2 linked regions of the Drosophila melanogaster genome follow. The protein of the gene in region 1 interacts with the protein of each later gene in a pairwise test. Each region holds a gene or a part of one and is shown on either strand. Other genes may lie near its edges. The genes, in order: CG1737 and ACOX1.

Region 1 (10,726 bases):
GAAGCGAATCCTGATAGGCTCGTCCCGTCGGCGGCTTGGGTATCGACTCGCCAAGCGAAAAGCCCGACGTCGACTGGTACGTAATGTCCAGCGTGAAGTCCACCTCCGCCGTTATCTGTATGGCTATGAAATTGGGCTCCGGATTGGAGGATGGCAGGCCATTCTGCGAGACTATCTCGCCGGGCAGGCCGATGAAGCGATTGCCACGCTTGTCGGCGAAGGCGCGGAAGTGCGAGAAGAGCGTATCCTTGAGCTTGGCCAGCGACGGTGCCACCGTGCTGAGATAGGATTTATGCAGTATCTTGCCCTTGACGGCATGGAAACGCACTTGGAACTCGCCCAGGCCCTGCGCCTCACCATAGACGCCCGGCTCCGGACTCTTGTCGTCCGACACGTACTTAATGTGTCCATTGGTGCGCTCATCCAATGCCACATACCAGATTAGCGAGATGCTCTTGTCCCACGCCCTTGTCGTATTCCTCACCGATATCCTGGCAGTCCAATCGCCGCCGTACTGCTTGCCCTCTGGATACTTAACGAACGAGGTCTTCAGCTCGAAGGGCAGATCCTGGATCTCTTGAACGCCAAAACTGCGGCCATCGTGATGCGTCCAGCCGTACGAGTCCAGTTTATCGCCCTGCTCGCACCAGTGTCGAATGCCCTGGCCACCGGGGCCCAGATTACTGGGCGTATACCACATCAGGCCCATGACCAGCGAGTGCGGATCCCTGGTCTTCATGCCGAAGTACGTCAACGGACGGTAGGAGCCCCAGTAGCGATCCGGTTGCTCCAGGCCGGCATGCACCACCATCTTCTGGTGATCGAAGGGCGTGTTAACGCGCGTCTCCAGGTAGCCCAGATAGCCGAAGTACGAGGCTATCGCCAGGCAAACGCAACCAATCATCGTTTTCCATTTGTCCAGGATCAAATTCGAGGATAAACTGAAACGCGGGCTGCGCTGCTTCTGTTTGGCATTGGATGCCGCTGCTGCTGCCGCTGCCGCCGCCGCTGCTGCTGCTGCGCTCGATCCGGATGAGGATGCAGCGGGCGTGGAGCCCGAGGAGCTGCCCGTGTTCCTAGCCATTTTGCGCTTGTCCCTTGGCTCTGATTTATCGGCTATTTGTTGTTGCTTCAATTTTCTTGCGAGCGCATTGTTTTCTTTTTTATTTCGATCCGCACTGCGTTGCCGGATCATCCCAACTATTTTCTATGCGGAATTACAAGGGTTTGTGTCCTAGCTATACTATGCTATATTTGAAAACCATAAAATTAATCATTTCCAAAATTTCTTCTCCAAATTTTGTAACAAATCATTTTTCCGTCACATTTCTCGATCGTCAGAAATAAAATCGGAGCTTATGCGTCGCTTGCAATTATTTTAAATTCTTAGTAAACTTTCTTGGAAAATGCTTAAATATTTGGCTGGAATTTTCGTCAGTCCGCGCAATGACTACGCGAATGGTCGCTACAGGATTCCGCATCCGAAGAAGCTGGCCGCCAGGCGAAAGTCGCCCCCGGTGAATATATCCACGAGGAGCGTCATCAATGGCGGCAGGTCGGCAAACGGGAGGCTCAAGACGGAAAATAGAAACGCACGGCGACGTCGAGAGGGCAATCCACATCTGACGCGACCACACAGCCGATCCTCCCAGAAAACCATAGGGATCCGCCTGGATCCCATTAGCTACATCGTAAATGTGCCCAATTCCACTTCATCGCCCGACGACGACGAGGAGGAGGTGCCTGTACCGCAATTGCCCAACGCAGTAAACAAACTGAAGGCTCGAACGTATCGGAAGGAGAATTCCGATTGCCTTATTCCACCGCCAGTTAGTCGCGTCGCGAGTTGGTCGGGTCCTTTGAATGCCAGTCCCTTCAACCAGCTGGATGAGCAGAATTCCATCTCTGACGATGCGGACGCAATGGGCTGGAAAGCGATTTGTTTGCCAGATGATTTTTGGTCGGAGGATTCGGACTCGGAAAGCAAAAGCAAAATGAGTAAAATCAATGTCTTTTAATATACAAAAAATTTATTTTAAATATTATAATAGTTGACCATTCAATAAGATCTTATTATGCTTTTAATAAGTACGAAATTTTACAAATTAATGTAAAGAAATTGTATACTTAATAAATAGCAATAGACTGCAAGCTGAGCAGTTTTTCTGAAACATATTTTGAAATAAAAAGATTTTGTGACGTAATAAGGACATTAAAAAGCGCCACCTTACAAGCAACATTCATGAAAAACGGCGCTGCCAGATGGACCGAGGCGTTACGTGGGAATTAGTACATTTTGGCACTGTACATGTGCATTCAATATTTTGATTTCACTATTATTGCTGCAAATAAACACAGAAAACTGAAAGCATAATGAACGTCAGCGCCGATTTTAAGCCGGTGCCCACGCGTGCAGCGTTGGCGCTGCAAAAGAAGCAGGAGAACACCGAATTTCAGGCACACGTCTTCCACGAATCGCACTTCCAATCGAAAAGTGGAACAAAAAAGCAGGACGACGGCGTCCAAAAATCGCACAAAACCAAGGAGGGCGGCATGGAACTGAATCCCGAATTCGATATCAAGAAGGCGCGCCACGAGGTGCTCAATTTTGCGATCAAAAACCAGCGTGTGATCAAAAACAAGAGCAAAATGGAAATGTTTCAGCTGATCAAGCTGGGCGCCAAGCCGCTGAAGAAGGCCTCCAAAAACTACAAGGAGCTGAAGGACGAACGCCAGCGGCTGAAGAATATTCGCGAGGAGCGCAAGAAGTTCCATCAGTTGGGCAAAAATCAAACGGGCGCCGCCAGCGTCAAATGCCGAACAAAATCGCAAAAGGAGCGCAACGACAAGAGGCGCGCGCCCGTTTCACACATCGATCAGCACTACGGCAAGGCGCAGCCCAAGTTTAAGACGAGAAAATAGTTGTTTATATAGCTCTTAGTTAAATACTAAAACTAGCTTAGTCAAAGGATGGCACTGTTTAAAAATCAATTTATCTATTCTAGCCCTAACGTCAGGCTTAAATTATATAATATATAACTATACCAGCACTGCCAGCATCTTTAACTGTGTAAATAATAATTTAAACATTTAAACCAATTTAAAATATGACCACTTTTATTTTATGCATATTTTTGCGGCCAGGTGGCAGCTTCGCGCTCGTACGTTGCCTTGCCATATTCCTCGCCAATAAGCGCACTTTCCGCGTTACCCAACACGTCCACTTTGTTGATACGTGATTACGTGAATTATTTTTGCGAATTAAACGCTGCAAGCTAGCCAGCCATTAAGTCCAACATGTTCTCGCCCTCACGTGCCCTGCGCCCAGCCCTCAGCCGCTGCTACAGCCAGATCAAGGGCGGACCCGTTTCCGGCGGCGGTAGACCCAGCGCCTCAGGATCTCCAGCTGGAGCCGGATCCTCGCCATCGGGCGGCGCATCCTCGCCATCGGTTGTGGGACTGACCAGCAATTGCGTGAAGCCCAGCAGCGGACCCGTTGGACCAGGTGCCTCCGCCACCGGTGGCTACAAGGTGCCTGAATACTACAGCTTCAATCGCTTTAGCTACGCCGAGGCGGAGGTGGAAATGGCCAAGTACCGCTGCCCACAGCCCTCGGCCCTCAAGTAGATGTAGCCCAATTGTTGATGTTAAATAAAATAAATGCCATTTAAAGAGGACAGTTGAGAATTAGAAAAATCAGTGTTAATCGGTGTCTGTGGCCGATGGGGCAGTTGGGCTGGCAGACATTCTGCAGCACTGGCCGACCGACCGACGGACGCTATACAACACCGTATTACAGCAATCCTCCCCTCTCTTTCCAGTTCCATTTTTCCATCGACAGCGAACCATTTCGAGCGCGCCAATCATAATCGTGTTAATCGTGTCAGAAAGCAAATACAAATTGGTGCGCACATTCAGCTGTTGCAGTTACAGTCGAGCCAAACGATTTGTGTCGCCGATCGCGTGGAATTTCGCCAGCAAAACGCCGAAAAAAGCCCTCGAGAAAAGCAAAAACACACAGGGTCGCTGTGCATGTGTGTGTGTGGTACAGTTGGGTAGAAAATCATCGCCAGAGCGAGTTGCCACCTGGTTGCGCTGCTCCTCTCTCTCTTTCTCGTTCGCTCGCATTTATAATTTTTTTTCTTGTTCCGCCACTATTGCCACCACTTTTGCTGTTCTGCTTTCTGTGCAGCAGCTCAGTTGTTCAGTTCGGTTGTTGTTATTGTGTTGTGCATTCTGGCGTTTTGAAAACATTCTAAATAGCAATAGGCAATCTCTTGCCCAAAGCCCAAAAAGGAAGAAAATATAAAAAACAGTTGCCAATTAAGAGTGACCATCCGCAGCAGCAGCAGCAGCAGAGTTGCAGCGAGAGAACAATAAGCAAAAGAGAGAGCGCGGGCTTGTGAAAGTGCCAGCGAAAAGTGCGATTAAATTGAAGGCAAGCTTAACGCCCGAGAAAATGTTAAGCGATTTTCGAAGGTAAGTTGCTGAATTTCAATCAAACGATATTCTCATCGCTCCATATTCCTACGTGTTTGTGTGTTTGTGTGCATGTAGCTCTATGTGTGTGCCTGCGTGTGCATATGTGTGTGCAACGACTGGCGCGCGAAAAAGTGACGAAAATAGGCGCTAGAGTTGCCAGAGCAGCTAGCTGCACATTACACACATATCAGTGGAATACAGTGGGCCCTGGCTACGCGATACGTGTGCAATGTTGTTACTCTGTAATAAAGCTGCTTGCTTGGATTTCCAATTTCAATGCGATATTTGAAAAATACTACTAATTGCAAATGGGTGAATAACACGATCCCGCTAGCCACAACCCACTGTACTCATCCTATATGGTCACAATGTAACTAATAATCCATTCCGCCTCTTGCCCACGATTCCAGCTACCCATGAAAGATGCGGGCTGGAAAAAAAGAGGCAGCTGAAAGCGTTAAGAAGACACGTAATTGCATCGTCTACGTGAGGAATCTGTACGACGAGTCGTCTTCGCGTAAAGACACGCCAGCCGGCAAACTGAAAGGGAGAGATAACCAACGGGAGGTGCAGCAGGAGCTGCGTGGGACCCGCACCACAAGACGTCAATCCGTCGTCCAGGAGAAGCCCACTCCGCGCACCAGGCACGCTGTGAAGCCAGCAGCGTTATCGCCATCACCATCGTCGCCATCGGCGCGTTCCAAGCTCAGCAGGGAGTCGGCCGTCAAGGAGCAGCCATCCAGCAATCTGGCCAAACGACGCGGCAATTTGCTGCTGGGAGGCAGCAATCATCCCCTGTCCATTAGTCCTCACAAGTTGGGTCTGGACAAGCCACAGCGACGGCGATCCGTTCAAGCGGAGACGCCGAAGATGTTCAAGGTGGTGTCCAGCAAGCGCGTATCGACGAGTCCGCCGCCCACCATTGCGGCCAGTCGTTCGCGCCGATCGATCAAACCGAATCCAAAGTATGTCAGCGAGGATATAGTGACGCCAAAGTACTTGGCCGCCCTGGCCGATGGCGGTGGCCAGTCCATCGGCACGAACGACAGACGCTTGGTCCGCCTGCCGCGAGATGAAATCAGCGATATGCTGGAATTCGAAGAGGACGATGATGACGAAGTGGCGGACGCCGCCTTCAATCCGCAACTGCACAAGTCCGACGATGACGACGACGACGATATAAGCGAGGCCGAGTACGAGCAGGAGCTGCGACGCAAACAGCCGCCCGTCAAGCGTGGACGTGGACGTCCACCGAAGGCGAAAAATGTCAATGCCAATGCCAGCGCGACCAGCGCTGGCAATCTGACTTCCAGCAGCGGCGCCACATCCAAGATATCCATAAATTCGAGCAGCGGCCGCACGGCGTCCACTAGCCTGCAGCAGATGCGTCGCACAATGGCCACGAATATGGCCAAAAGCAATGCCAGCATGACAGACGGATCGAGCACGGGCAAGGGCACTGCGTCCGCCGCGGCCAAACGCAAAATGGACACTAGCGAAAGCGAGAGTCCTGTGCCACGCAAGCGCATAATCATTTCGGGCGGCTCCCAGCAGCGCAGCGGACCGCCTGTGGTGAATGGTGCCAACAGCAAGATGAGCGCGCAGAGAGCGATCACGGCGCGACCGAAGGTGGGCCAGGCGGGCAGTGCGTCAGCCAGGATGCTGCCACAGCGACGCGGCAGCAGTAACAAGATAAACTCATTGTCGAACTCCAATTCGAATTCGATTAGATCCACGCCCGCAACGCGCTCAACTGGCGGTGGTGGTGGCGGCGGCAAGGGTGACGCTAGCAATGATGGGAAAAACGATTCCGAATCGGAGGATATGCCCACATTCACCATTGTAAACATCGATGACATTATCAATCAGGACGATGTGCTCATTTCCAGATCACACACTGCTATGGCCGCTTCCGCAGCTGGCGGTAATTCAATCAAAAAGGTCGCTTTGGGCAGGCCCCGTACCAAGAATATCGGAACCGGCAATTCGGTTGCCGGCGATAAGAAATCCATCACTGTTAACAGCACGCAGAAATCCCTGTCCGCTGCTGTTAACCACAACAATACGACGGCGGGGAATCCAGCCAAGCGCATCAAGATCTTGGCCAGCAACAGTAGTGTCAATACCAAAATGGGACCAGTGCATATCCAGAGTCAACTGCCGAAGCCCCGGCCCAGGATACTCAACGCGGAAATGGGCAAGAAGACGCAGTCGATGAAACCGCTGATGAGCATGGGCAAGGAGCTCTGTCCCACGGACGTCGACACCGAAGAGGACGATCCGGATCCAGATCTCGATTTTGATATCGATAATATACCGGTATCTATTGTTACCCGTAAGAATGCCAATGTCAATGCCAATGCCAAGTCCAAGCAGGTGACGACAACGACGTCGGTGGCGGCGTCGGCGGCGATGACGTCCGCTCCAGCAGCGGTAGCGGTTAACAAGTTGAACAACAATCGGCGCAATGTGCTGTCCACGACAGCGTCGTCGGTGAATGCGCTGATTGCGGACCGGAGGCTGAGCAATCTGCTGGCCGATAACGATGTCCAGCCGGTGTTCAAGAAGCCGAGCCTGGTTCCGCAGCGTCGCAGCAAGGAGAACCAGCAGGAGCAGCAGCGCGACAAGGAGCTGACAACGCTGCGCGAAATATTGCCCACCGGCGGTGGCATCGACGATGCCAACAGTCCCAAATATTTTCCGCCCGAGACCACAACGTTTCACGAGGAGGATGGTCGTGTGGTAAAGAAGATCACCTGCTATGAGACGTGGCATGTGGTTAGCACGGCCAAGGATATGTTGTCGAAGATGGCGCGCCAGCAGCGCACCTGCCTGGAGCTGGCGCTGGTCAAGCTGGCCAATGTGGCGTCACGGATAAAGGTGCCATCGGGCAAATGGACCAGCAAGGTGACGCTGTACAAGGTCTCGCCGTCGATGATGCCCCGCCAGACAATGACCATCTTTACGGGCGATCTCAAGGCGTACAACATACCCGAGGAGGACCGTCACAAGTATCAGCCGTCGTGCGTGCTCTTCCGGCGCGTTGTCGTTGACAAGAACACGTGCCGCGTGCCCTACGATCGGGCCGTCATCTTCAAGAACAAATGCTTCTATGCGAACATCGATGGCAAGCATGTGAATCTGTTGGGTGCCCCCGAGACGGTTGCCACCATCAAGGATGTGGAGATCCTGCTGGATATCGTCGATCGCCTCTCGATCAGCAGCAACATTGTCGAGCTGGTCAACGCTAAGTGAGCGTGGAGGCCTGGTCCATGGTGGCCACAGGAAGAGCACGTATCACATTGTAAAAAATAATTCACACACAGCACTCCCCTCCCCATCCCCATCCCCCTCCCCCATACACATACACAAACAAACAAAGCGGACACTCGATAATTCGTTTTATGCTGTAGTTGTAATAAAACAGATACAAGTTTTTTTTTGTAAAACCATTAACTTAGTTGTAATAGCTAGTGTAGCGTAAATTTATATATATTTATATGTATATATATATATGTATGTATATAAATATATATTAATATATATACACGTATATATAATTATATATTTATATATATGAATATATATATATATATATTTATATAAATTTTTATATATATATATCTCGTATATTATAAACAGCGGACGGACATACATAAATACAAACGGCAGATGTATCTATGTAATATAAACTAAACTAAAGAAAACAATTAATTGTAAAATGCTCGCCCAACTCTCGAAGGGATTGCGAAGTTCCGGGCGGTCGAGGTATATCAATAATGATTTTTATTTTAAATGCGTTGGAATACATAGCCCCCCTCCGCCTTCCCCGCGAGTCCCGCCCCCTTCGAAATCCTTTTTTTTTAAATTGCTATTATCGTAGTCGATTCAATAATATAAAACCGGGCGTACATGTGCCTACGCCCGCGTGGAGGACTAGCCAGTAAGTTAGTCGAGTGTATATCTAAGTGATCCCAATTCAAAGCATACAAATAAAAGAGAAAACTGATTTAAATAACGAGCGCCATTGCGTGATAAATGGCGGGCGGGGTTATCTGGAAATCGGGCAGCTATAAATAAACTGCGGCCAACGCTAGAGATTTTCGTGTGAAAAGCGAAAGAAGATAAGGAACGCAGGCTTCAAGTGGATGGATGGATGAGTTTCCTTGGTCAAGTTTCCATGACAAGGATAAAGACTCTACTTTTAAACAGGACACTCTTCAACTATGCTACATCATTATATGGTAAATTAATACAATTAAGAGTTCAATATAGCTGTAGTTTTAGATTCTACATGTTTTATGTAATAGAAATTGCTATTTTGTTAAATTATAATAAATTTATTGTTTTGAATAAGTATTCAAATTAAACGATATTTATCGATAACTTTGGTATTTAATTTTAAAAGTGTTTGAACTACATTCAAATTGTAAAGCAAATATCGTTAGAGAGAGCATTTCCAATAGAAACTAAATACATTGCAGTTTTTAGTAGTTTTCCATACGCTTTTTCAGAATATTCGTTTGAGAAAATGTTAAGAATGTTCGAATTCGAAAGGGTCTGGCATCGCCGGCAGTGTGACCAACTGCCCGGCGCTTTGGCATTCCGTGCGTGACGAGCGGCTAACACACTGTTTTTTTTTAGTCTCAAAATTCTAACAAATTTATTGATAAACTAGCAATATGCTCGTTTCGCCCTGCCCCCGCTGCGTGCACCGACATTAAAGCGCACCAAATCGTGCTAATGGAGCAATATCAACGCCGTGCAAATCGACGAATTAACAGCCGCCGCTTCCATTGAATCGAAATACCCAGCCCAAAAAAAAGAGAAAGAAAAAGTAAAAGAAACGCGTGCGAGAGCGAGAGGGCTAGAGCGACCAGGGGGAGAAAAGCAAAATCGAGTGAATTTTGTTTGTTGTATCGGCTTTTCCCTGGCTTAATCCCGTTTTCCCTGTGATTTTTCCCCACCAACTTCCCACGCCACCTCCCCACCGCATCCATCGCATTTCGTTTTGATCGCGTTTTATCGCGTCGAGGAGTTTTCCCGTGGATTTCCGCAGTCGGCGCAGCTAAAATGGACGCGGACAGGGGCGGCGGGCAGGAGACGAAGGTGATATACCACATCGACGATGAGACGACGCCGTATCTGGTGAAGATCCCCATTCCATCCGCCCAGGTGACGCTGCGCGATTTCAAGCTGGTGCTGAACAAGCAGAACAACAACTACAAGTACTTCTTCAAGTCAATGGACGCCGATTTCGGTGTGGTCAAAGAGGAAATAGCCGACGACTCCACCATACTGCCCTGCTTCAATGGGCGAGTGGTGTCCTGGCTGGTCTCCGCCGATGGTACCAATCAGTCAGATAACTGCTCCGAGCTGCCAACCAGTGAGTGTGAATTGGGCATGGGTCTGACCAACAGGAAGCTACAGCAGCAACAGCAGCAGCATCAGCAGCAGCAACAACAACAGCAGCAGCAGCACCAGCAACAGCAACAACAACAGCAGCAGCAGGTGCAGCCTGTCCAGCTGGCGCAGCAGCAACAGCAGCAGGTGCTCCATCACCAGAAGATGATGGGCAATCCGCTGCTGCAGCCGCCACCGCTCACATATCAATCGGCATCCGTGCTCTCCAGCGATCTGGACTCGACCAGTCTCTTTGGCACCGAATCCGAATTGACGCTGGACCGCGACATGACCGACTATAGCAGCGTTCAGCGATTGCAGGTGCGCAAGAAGCCGCAGAGGCGCAAAAAACGGGCGCCCAGCATGTCGCGCACCTCCTCGTACAGCTCCATAACCGACTCGACCATGTCCCTAAATATCATTACCGTCTCCATCAACATGGAGGCGGTCAACTTTCTGGGCATATCCATTGTCGGGCAATCGAATCGCGGCGGCGACGGCGGCATCTACGTGGGCAGCATCATGAAAGGCGGCGCAGTGGCACTCGATGGACGCATCGAACCGGGCGACATGATCCTCCAAGTGAACGATGTCAACTTCGAGAACATGACCAACGACGAGGCGGTACGTGTGCTGAGAGAAGTCGTTCAGAAGCCGGGACCCATCAAGCTGGTGGTGGCCAAGTGCTGGGACCCAAATCCCAAGGGCTACTTCACCATTCCGCGCACGGAGCCGGTGCGACCCATCGATCCCGGTGCTTGGGTGGCGCACACTCAGGCCCTCACATCGCACGACAGTATTATTGCCGACATTGCGGAGCCGATTAAGGAGCGTCTGGACC
Region 2 (9,106 bases), on another chromosome or scaffold:
TGGTTTTCAATACCCAAAGCTGAGCCCACAGTGGCCAGTCTGCGATACTCGTCCAGTCGCGTTTCATTGTGAGCAATGAAGATGCCACCATTTTGAATCCATCCCGGATCCAGCTCCGTTTCCTCCTCCAATTGCTGCAGCATGCGACGTGAATTAGCCAGCAGCTGAATATCCACATCGTTGGGACGCAGGCGCCACAGCAATCCAGCCGTGTGCCAGGTGGTTCCGGCCGTAAGTTGGGCGCGTTCCAGGAGCACGGCCTTGACACCACGTCGTGCCAGGTGATACAGTGTGTGACAGCCCGCCGAACCACCGCCAATAACCACAACATCTGCTGCGCCTGGCAGGAATCCACTTGGTTCCCTTCGAGCTCCTCCATCTTCCCTCACTTGTTTGCTGATTCCACGGCGCGAAGCTTGCTGCAGGATGCGATGGCGCCACATCTCAAAAACGGCCGAGCGCGACGACTTTAGAATCTCAACTGAATTCTCGAGTTAAAAACACAATACCGCCATAATAATCTCCCGCTGAATTGATCGGATAACCCATGGTTCAGCATCCTGATAAACCTGCTGTGCCAGTGACGTTCCATCCATGACTGGAGGCCCTAATCAAGGCCACGTTTTAGGGTCACAGCACGTTTCTTATCTGGGTTCGGAGGCGTGGCAAGTAGTAAAATTAGTTAGCAGCTACGTAGGTCAAAAAACAATTTAATCTGAGCAAATTTTTAGTTTCAATAAAGATGCGGTTTAACAGATGCTTCTTGCTAATATGTTGTGGTTTCAATTAATCCATTCATATAAATAGATTTATTAAACTCTTGCTTTTCTTTTAAAAGCACTTAAAGAAAACGTAAATTCTATAGATTAAACAAAGTGTTGCCTACATATATGTACATATATTTTCGAGTATTTTCATTTCCCGCAGAAAATTTGAAAAGTCAAAATCGTTCTCGGAACTTAAAACTCCCCACATAAGCAATGAAATTTTGGACCCATACTCAAATGCCAACCATCGCGGCGACCCCAAACAGGATACGCAGTTGAACCCCAGGATTATAATCTCTTCCGATCTGCCATTAATGCCTATCTCCAAATGCACTGCGAGATCGAATACCAGGTGGTGCCATCTGGAGCCGGAGTCTTGGCACGCTTCGCACTCGCCCGTCGCACATCCTTACGGCACAACATCCCCACTCCAACGCCCGTAGTGAACCGGATAAACCGAGCGTTTCATTTTGAATTTTCCCGCAGACCGACGGAGGAACACTGTGTGGCCAATGTGGTGGCAGCCAGAAGGCAAACAACCGAGAAAGAGACCGCCGATCGCACCATGTGTCCGGATTCCTCCGCCAATTGGGACTGTTTGCGGAGCAGGCACGCCCACCAGAGGTGCCAGAAATAGACGGAATCTGGAGAGCTGCAAACTGCGGAGCAGAATGCTCAAAAAGGAGGATCTCCCCGTAACCCGTGACAGAAGTGCTCTACGTGCCACGCAGATCGGACGTATTCGACTCACAGATTGGTTTCGGTTCGGTGCGTTTCGATTTTAAGTGAGAAAACTGAGTGATTGGAATTTTATATCCAATTTGAAAATATTCGAAGTGATTCTTGTGATACCACCAACTTGTTTTTGAACAATGCCACGCAAGAAGCGCAGTTCCAGCCCCACGGAGTTCTTTGATGACGACTTCGATGAGGATGCCAGTTCTCAAAGTGAGTTCGATTTCAATTTATAGGTGATTTTGTACTTATATTAAAAAGATGTATTATAAACGCTTAAAAACGTTGACAATGTAAATATGTTTAGCTAGTTTTGTAAATTTATTATTTACTTTAAAGTAAAATTCAATTTCCTTAGAATTTTTTAAATCGAACTTTAGAATTTACCTTAAAAGGAATGTTAATTTAAAATGCGTTAAGCTCTAAATGAAAATATAATAATAATGATAAAAATTATAATAACAGAAAGCACAATAGATATAAATTGAGTTTAAAATTCATACTCCATATGCTTTTTGAACTTCATACTTTGCGAAGATATCTATAATGTAACTTAAAACTTTTGTGGATACCAATAAAACCTTTTGTTTCTAATTAATCTCTTGTTATTGGAGCTCCTTAAGATGTATCTACATTTCTGATTTTCCAGGCTCCCAACCGCCGGTGCAGCGAAATGCGGCAAATGCCCGGGAGCGGATGCGTATGCGGGTTTTATCCAGCGCCTACGGACGTTTGAAGACCAAGCTGCCCAACATTCCGCCGGACACGAAGCTCTCCAAGTTGGACACGTTGCGTTTGGCCACGCTCTACATCAAGCAGCTAATTACGGCTGTGGAGACAGGCAGCCACTCGCAGAACCACCCGCACAACCACAACCAGCACCACAGCCTCAACCACAGTCACTCGAGTACCACCAGTTCCGAAGGCCTGGACACAAGTCACATGGCAGATTCGTCCGGTGGAGGCAATTATAATTTCCACAACAACGGACACGGCATGGTAAGTGTCATGCAATTGCGATCCCCCTGCCCGAATATAAGTGATGTCACTGCCACCACTTAACGATGCACTGCACCCGCGGCTCGGGGGAACGGGAACGCATTAATGAGCCGGCCACTTCAGGTGGATCTCGTCAGTTAATGACAGGTGTCGCAGGGGATGCCCAGTGATATGCCCAAGATCAATGTTTATTCATGGATTTCAGTCTAATTGAGAAGTAATGTTCAGCCGATCGGGATTCCCATAAGTTTATGTCTTTTTATGGAAAGTTTGGTATTGGGAATGAAAATTTTTCTTTTATGCGTTTTCTTTGAAAAGCCATTAAGGAAATAAAGTAGGTAGATATTTGTAAATTTTGCTAGTTGAAATTAGCCTTTCGTAGAATTTTAACTTAGAGATCGTGGAAAGTTACACGGAAACCCAGGCTTCAGTGTTTAAAATTTAAAAAATTGATACTATTACAATTTAAACGTATACGCAATCTATTATTCTCATTTTTTTTTTAACAAGCAACTTAAGTATTTAGTAATACTACTCAACTTATAGGGGTAATTCAACGCAATTTTAGCGAAATATAGATCAAAAATCCAAAGGAATGTGGTGCAACATCTGCTTGGTGATGCGGACGCGATGCGGCGACAAGTATTTCCACCTTTTCTAGATGTGGAGGTGAACCACAAACGTAACCACATCCACATCCCATGACCGGAGTCAGCCATTCAGCCGGGCCCCCCACTAGAACACCGAAATCACATTTTGTGATTTCAGACTGCCTTGCTTTCCTGTAATCCGATACTTTTGTGAATTTCGAAAATATTAAATATGAGTGACAGGCTGTTGGTGGAGCGGGCAGGGAACGGAGATGGTAACGCAGACCTGCGGATCTGGATGGGGGGCACTAGTTAGTCTTTGCTTTTATTTTTTATTTTTAAAGATGCTCTTGATGCTTTGAAGCGACACAGTGAATGACATGCGAGGGAAAGTGTCATCCTCAGTAGTTTTCCCACTCGGATTATTGTAATTAAAATTTGTCTAACCGTGTTTATCCATCAGCCATTCCCGCTGGAGTTTACACAATCTATCACTCAAGATTCATGGCGTGCACAACTTATCTAAATAGATGCAATTGTTTACACACCGAATGCGTGAAAAATTCAGCAAATACGGCTCCGTCTTGTGCCCATATGGTGGCAAATCAGATCGGATCGGAGAGTCCCGACCCTATCCGAATTTATACCATCCACGCGCCCAAGATGATCTGTTGGGAACAACCCATTGGTTCGCTATTTGCTCGCTAGCCCTAGCATCCCTATATCCCATTTCCAATCCCTCATTGTATGGCATACAAATGAGTGTCTCTTGTCCGCAAGTGTTTGGCTGTTTATGTTTTTATAGATCCGTTAATGAGGCTGTTATTGTAGATCTAGACGTGGAGGCGGGGGTGGGCACTAAAAACAATCAAAGTTGCGTAAACAAACAATGGCGCTGTCTCGGGATGGGTTGTCGTCATATTGTTCCATATATAGCCCCTGCGGTTTCCACAACTCCTATGATTTATGCCTGTTTTATCCACACATTCCACATTATACTGTCTTGCAGAGCTGGCCCTTTGAGTTCCACCAGAGTAGCCGGAGTTTGGCATTTGCCCCATCATCATCAACCACCTCATCCGCCCGTATGGATTGGCAAACCCTGCATACGCAATCTTATCCGAAGACTACGCGAGGCGAAACCCATGTTTCGGCGGATCTAAGTTACCATCAGTTGCCGGAATCTCACAGTCACTGGTATCCGGCGGAAGTGCATCAAATGGAGCCAGCGGCCAGCTGTTCCTATGACTCTGGAATGGGGCAGCATCAGCGGGGCATAGCTATAGCCACTAGCCATGCCCATGGCATTTAAGCGGATATTATAAATAATGTTCTGACCTAAGCCAAATGAATTTACCACCTAGTAAGTGTATTAAATCGTGATTTAATTTTACGTGTTTCCGTATGTGCAAGCCTGAACCTATGCTATAAGGCCAAAGATTGGTGTTACCTCATGATCATTTAGCTAGCAAATATATCTATGTTTTTAATAAAATTGGAATTTTTGAATTTTTTTGAATTGGCGCCAAGATTATGGTGACTGTATCCCTGGAGTTGTCGAGTGCTGCCGTACTTGTTTGTATTTTGCAGCCCTGTTCAACAGCTGATTTCGTCACAATACAAACAAAGAGCTGCTAAAAACAAAATTAATCTATTAATTAAGGCGGAATTCAAATACCCTACTTTTTTTAAAACGGCTAATTTGAGACATTTTAAAGATGTTATTTATGCAGAAAGATGTAGTGAATTTGCATTATTCACTTGCAAACAAATTATACGAACAAAGAAGCTTATGAAAGCAATCTTATTTAAATTAGAAACAAACTGAAAGAAAACGCCCAAGTACTTTTTACATGCAGTGTATTTATTTTGTGTATTTACTCATAAATGTAGCCCAACAACAATGGCGTGAGAATAATGGTTGTGCTACAGACTATTTCAACACAAAAGCGAACTTATTACATGTGTATTTTCGCGGTTAAAGTTCACGTCGTTCGAGAGCTGGCATCGATGATTAGATTCGGAATAGCTGGATCAGATCAGCAGTCCATAATCTCAATCTCCTCCACTGGATTTCCTCCACCAGCACTTGAGTGACCGACTGACTGACCACTGAGCGCAATTCGCCTTTCCAGCAACAATCAGTCAGTACGCGATATTCAACGAAGACGGACGCTTTGCGGTGGCTCGTTAATCCATAACCTGTTTACGTGACTTGAATACTGTGCCGCATAGCAAAATGCCAGCCAAACCAGTGAATCCCGATCTCCAGAAGGAACGCAGCACGGCCACCTTCAATCCCCGGGAGTTCTCCGTTCTGTGGGCCGGCGGCGAGGAGCGATTCAAGGAGAAGAAGGCCCTGGGTGAGTTAGCTTAGAAGGGAAAAACACCGGATTTCAAGCTTCTCCGGTGACCCCGACAGACCTACATGTACATTCACATTAACCGGTCGCTCAGAGCTTTATCTGAGCTTGGCGCAATCGCGTTTCCCAACAGTGGATGCAAGAAATTGTGCCAAAAGCATGACTTGGCAATTAAGCTAGGCTTTAACGCATTTATAGCTAATCTGTAGGGTACAAACTCTGATGCTAGCCATGTCAGCCACTGATAAATTATCCAAAACATCCTGTCAACTTCTTTGTTTTGATACGCTTCTTCTCCGTCCATTCATTCATGCGATTTGTTGATTTTGCTGCACGCCGTGGCCCAAAGTTCATTAATTATGTATTCCGCATAAACAAGCCGCTACTAGTTAATCAGCACCTATTAGCCAGCTCATAAGTTATTAATCTTTGAACTTCGCGCGAATCGCGATCAATCCGACTACTTGTGTACTTTGAATGTTTGCAGCTACCCACCATCTATTTCCAGGTCCACTTGAAATTAGTTTAGCTGATAGGTTTATCTGACAGATTTGCACGGTCGCTCAGGGCATCATAAATGGACAATGCCCAGTAACTCCCGCGAATTAACGAAGAATACTTTCCACTCATGATTACGCTGCAAAATTCAACAATGCTTATCTAAATGACACCTCCTAAAATATTAAATCCCTTTCCTTATGGCTTCATTTACATTAAATTTCGTTTATGATTTTTCCAGAGAAATTGTTTTTGGAGGATCCAGCCCTTCAGGACGACTTGCCCATTTCCTATTTGTCACACAAGGAGCTCTATGAGCACAGCTTGCGCAAAGCCTGCATCATAGGAGAGAAGATCCGCAAGCTACGTGCTGATGGCGAGGATGGAGTGGATACTTACAAGTAAAGAAATCCTTATATTTAATGTACTTCAGGTTGTAATTTGTGTGCTTATAGTGCTCTGCTTGGTGGATCCTTGGGATCGGCTATTCTAAAGGAGGGCAATCCGCTTGCGCTGCACTACGTGATGTTCGTGCCCACCATCATGGGCCAGGGAACGATGGATCAGCAGGTGGAATGGCTGAGCAAGGCCTGGGACTGTGAAATCATTGGCACCTATGCCCAAACGGAACTGGGACACGGAACCTTCCTGCGCGGTCTGGAGACCAGGGCTGACTACGATGCCAGCACCCAGGAGTTTGTTATAAACACTCCATCACTCAGTGCATACAAGTGGTGGCCCGGTGGATGTGAGTTTTCTTGAACACTTAATATTTTGAAATTGTTATAAAATCTGGGACTTGCAGTGGGACACACTGCTAACCATGCGGTTGTGGTGGCACAACTCTACACCAAGGGCGAGTTCCGTGGTCTGGCTCCTTTTATTGTCCAATTGAGGGATTCCGATACTCACCGTCCCATGCCCGGCATCGACATTGGAGATATTGGTACCAAGCTGGGCATGAAGGGTGTCAACAATGGCTATTTGGGACTGAAGAACGTACGGGTGCCTTTAAACAACATGCTGATGAAGAACCAGCAAGTGCTGCCCGATGGCACATATGTGGCGCCGAAGAATAGCGTGCTTACCTACGGAACTATGGTACTATTACACATATTCACTATATCTTCACAGAGATTTTAACCATTTTTTCATTCAAGATGTTTGTGCGTTGTGCTCTTATCCGTGATACCGCTCAGAGCCTGGCAAAGGCATCCACTATTGCCACTAGGTATTCAGCTGTTCGCCGACAGAGTCCCATTGATCCCAATCAACCGGAGCCCCAAATCATGGACCATACCACGCAGCAGTTGAAGTTGTTCCCCCAGATAGCTAAAGCCATCGTTTTCAAAACGACGGGTGATGGCATCTGGAATATGTACAACGTGATATCTGGCGAGATTGAGCAGGGTAACTTGGATCGCCTGCCCGAAATGCATGCATTGTCCTGCTGCCTTAAGGCCATCTGTAGTGCCGATGCCGCCGCCGGCGTGGAAACGTGTCGTCTGTCATGTGGCGGACATGGCTACATGGACTGCTCCAACTTCCCCACGATATACGGCATGACCACGGCCGTTTGCACCTATGAGGGCGAGAACACAGTGATGCTGCTGCAGACTGCTCGCTATTTGGTGAAGGTTTATGGGCAGGCCTTGAATGGAGAGAAGCTGGTGCCAACGGTTTCGTACATCAGTGATGCAATAAACCAAACCAAGTTTGTTAACTTTGACGGATCATTGAGGTCTATTGTCAAGGCTTTCCAATTCGTTGCCGCCAAGTAAGTATTTACTAAAGAAAAAAAGGTAGAAGTACCAAGTATTTAAATTCATATTTTTATATCAGCAAAACCCGAATTGCCTATGAGCAGATTGAACTGCGCCGCAAGCAAGGTTATGGTACCGAGGTGGCAGCTAATCTATGTGGCACCTTCCTAACAGCAGCTGCAGATGTAAGTCGTAATGAAATATCTGTTATTCACTCAGTATCCTATATAATTTTGTACCACTTGTAGCTTCATGGACGCGCCTTCCTAGCGCAGACTGCCTATACGGAGCTTTTGGCCTTGTCGCGCGAGGTGTCCCCAGAACTAGCTGAAGTCCTAAAGGTGGTGCTGGAGCTGTATCTGGTAGACGCCTGCCTCAACCGCATTGGCGACTTCTTGCGGGTACGATTTTAAATTGATATTAGTTAAGAATATTTAATGTTATATGTAACTTTCAACAGTTCATTGATCTCACTGATCAAGATGTCACGAAACTGGAGGTTCGCCTGGAGAACTGCTTAAAACGATTCCGGCCGAATGCCGTCAGCTTGGTGGACAGCTTTGATCTTCACGATCGCGTGCTAGATTCCGCATTGGGTGCCTATGATGGAAATGTTTACGAACACATCTTCGAGTCTACGAAGAAGAACCCGTTGAACAAGGAGCCAGTCAACGGAGCATTCCACAAGTACTTGAAGCCATTCATGAAGGCTCACCTCTAGATTCATATCCTATTGCTCTGGAAGATTTTCACAAGTGTTATTATTGTAAATATACATTTGTTTCCATTGTTTTTGTATTATACAACTGTCTGCTTAGCAAATGGTCTTTAAGACAATTATGATGTCAGGGCTTGTGCAGTTGAAACTAGGCTGTAAAATTATACACAAATAAAATATTCAACTATATTTAAAGGCAGTATTTAGTGTGTGTTTGGGCTTAACTAAATCGCTTTATTAAAGTTTGTTTTCTGATGGTGTTGCAAGATAGAGAGTAGCTCACTTATTGACTTCGTACAATGATGAACGCACTTACGACGCACTTGCCTTCGAGTTACGTTGTGCGTAAAGACGTCTCAGTAATCGGTTGCCAGCCAGGAATGTGAATACTGCGATGGGAATCAGCAGGCGCAGTGTCTGGAACATGTTAAGCTGCAGCCAGAACACGAAGAACAGCACCAGAATGCCACCGAAACCCAGATGAAACCCGATCGTACTCGGTGCCAGCGTCAGGTTAGATACATTGATGCCCAGTTTTCCCCAAAAAACGAAAAGCAGCACAAGCGGGGTTATGCACAGTCCGGTGAAGATATCAGAAACAATGCGGGGCGGGCGCTTATCGGGCACTCGGAACTGATGGATGATTTCGGGCAGGGGACCAGAAGTGTTCTTA

Evidence for each region.
Region 2: the proteins of CG1737 (region 1) and ACOX1 interact in a two-hybrid assay, tested with the Drosophila melanogaster proteins (one large-scale study listed by BioGRID).

Annotation. Positions count from the first base shown.
Region 1 is NC_004354.4:11,346,799-11,357,524, forward strand, and holds CG1737 (uncharacterized protein), read left to right. Parts: upstream 1-3,809; 5' UTR 3,810-4,045; exon of another isoform or gene 4,046-4,195; 5' UTR 4,196-4,479; intron 4,480-4,892; 5' UTR 4,893-4,905; coding exon 4,906-7,737; 3' UTR 7,738-8,741; downstream 8,742-10,726. Other genes in the region: GCS1 (glucosidase 1), read right to left, coding at 1-1,084; CG11756 (uncharacterized protein), read left to right, coding at 1,407-2,018; CG1738 (uncharacterized protein), read left to right, coding at 2,374-2,922; NdufV3 (NADH:ubiquinone oxidoreductase subunit V3), read left to right, coding at 3,298-3,627; dsh (dishevelled), read left to right, coding at 9,556-10,726.
Region 2 is NT_033778.4:17,755,936-17,765,041, forward strand, and holds ACOX1 (acyl-CoA oxidase 1), read left to right. Parts: upstream 1-5,004; 5' UTR 5,005-5,330; coding exon 5,331-5,454; intron 5,455-6,193; coding exon 6,194-6,353; intron 6,354-6,407; coding exon 6,408-6,700; intron 6,701-6,757; coding exon 6,758-7,053; intron 7,054-7,112; coding exon 7,113-7,729; intron 7,730-7,794; coding exon 7,795-7,900; intron 7,901-7,963; coding exon 7,964-8,116; intron 8,117-8,175; coding exon 8,176-8,436; 3' UTR 8,437-8,606; downstream 8,607-9,106. Other genes in the region: Sardh (sarcosine dehydrogenase), read right to left, coding at 1-443; HLH54F, read left to right, coding at 1,640-1,715, 2,152-2,501, 4,101-4,403; OstDelta (oligosaccharide transferase delta subunit), read right to left, coding at 8,746-9,106. UniProt on the Drosophila melanogaster protein: Catalyzes the desaturation of acyl-CoAs to 2-trans-enoyl-CoAs. First enzyme of the fatty acid beta-oxidation pathway.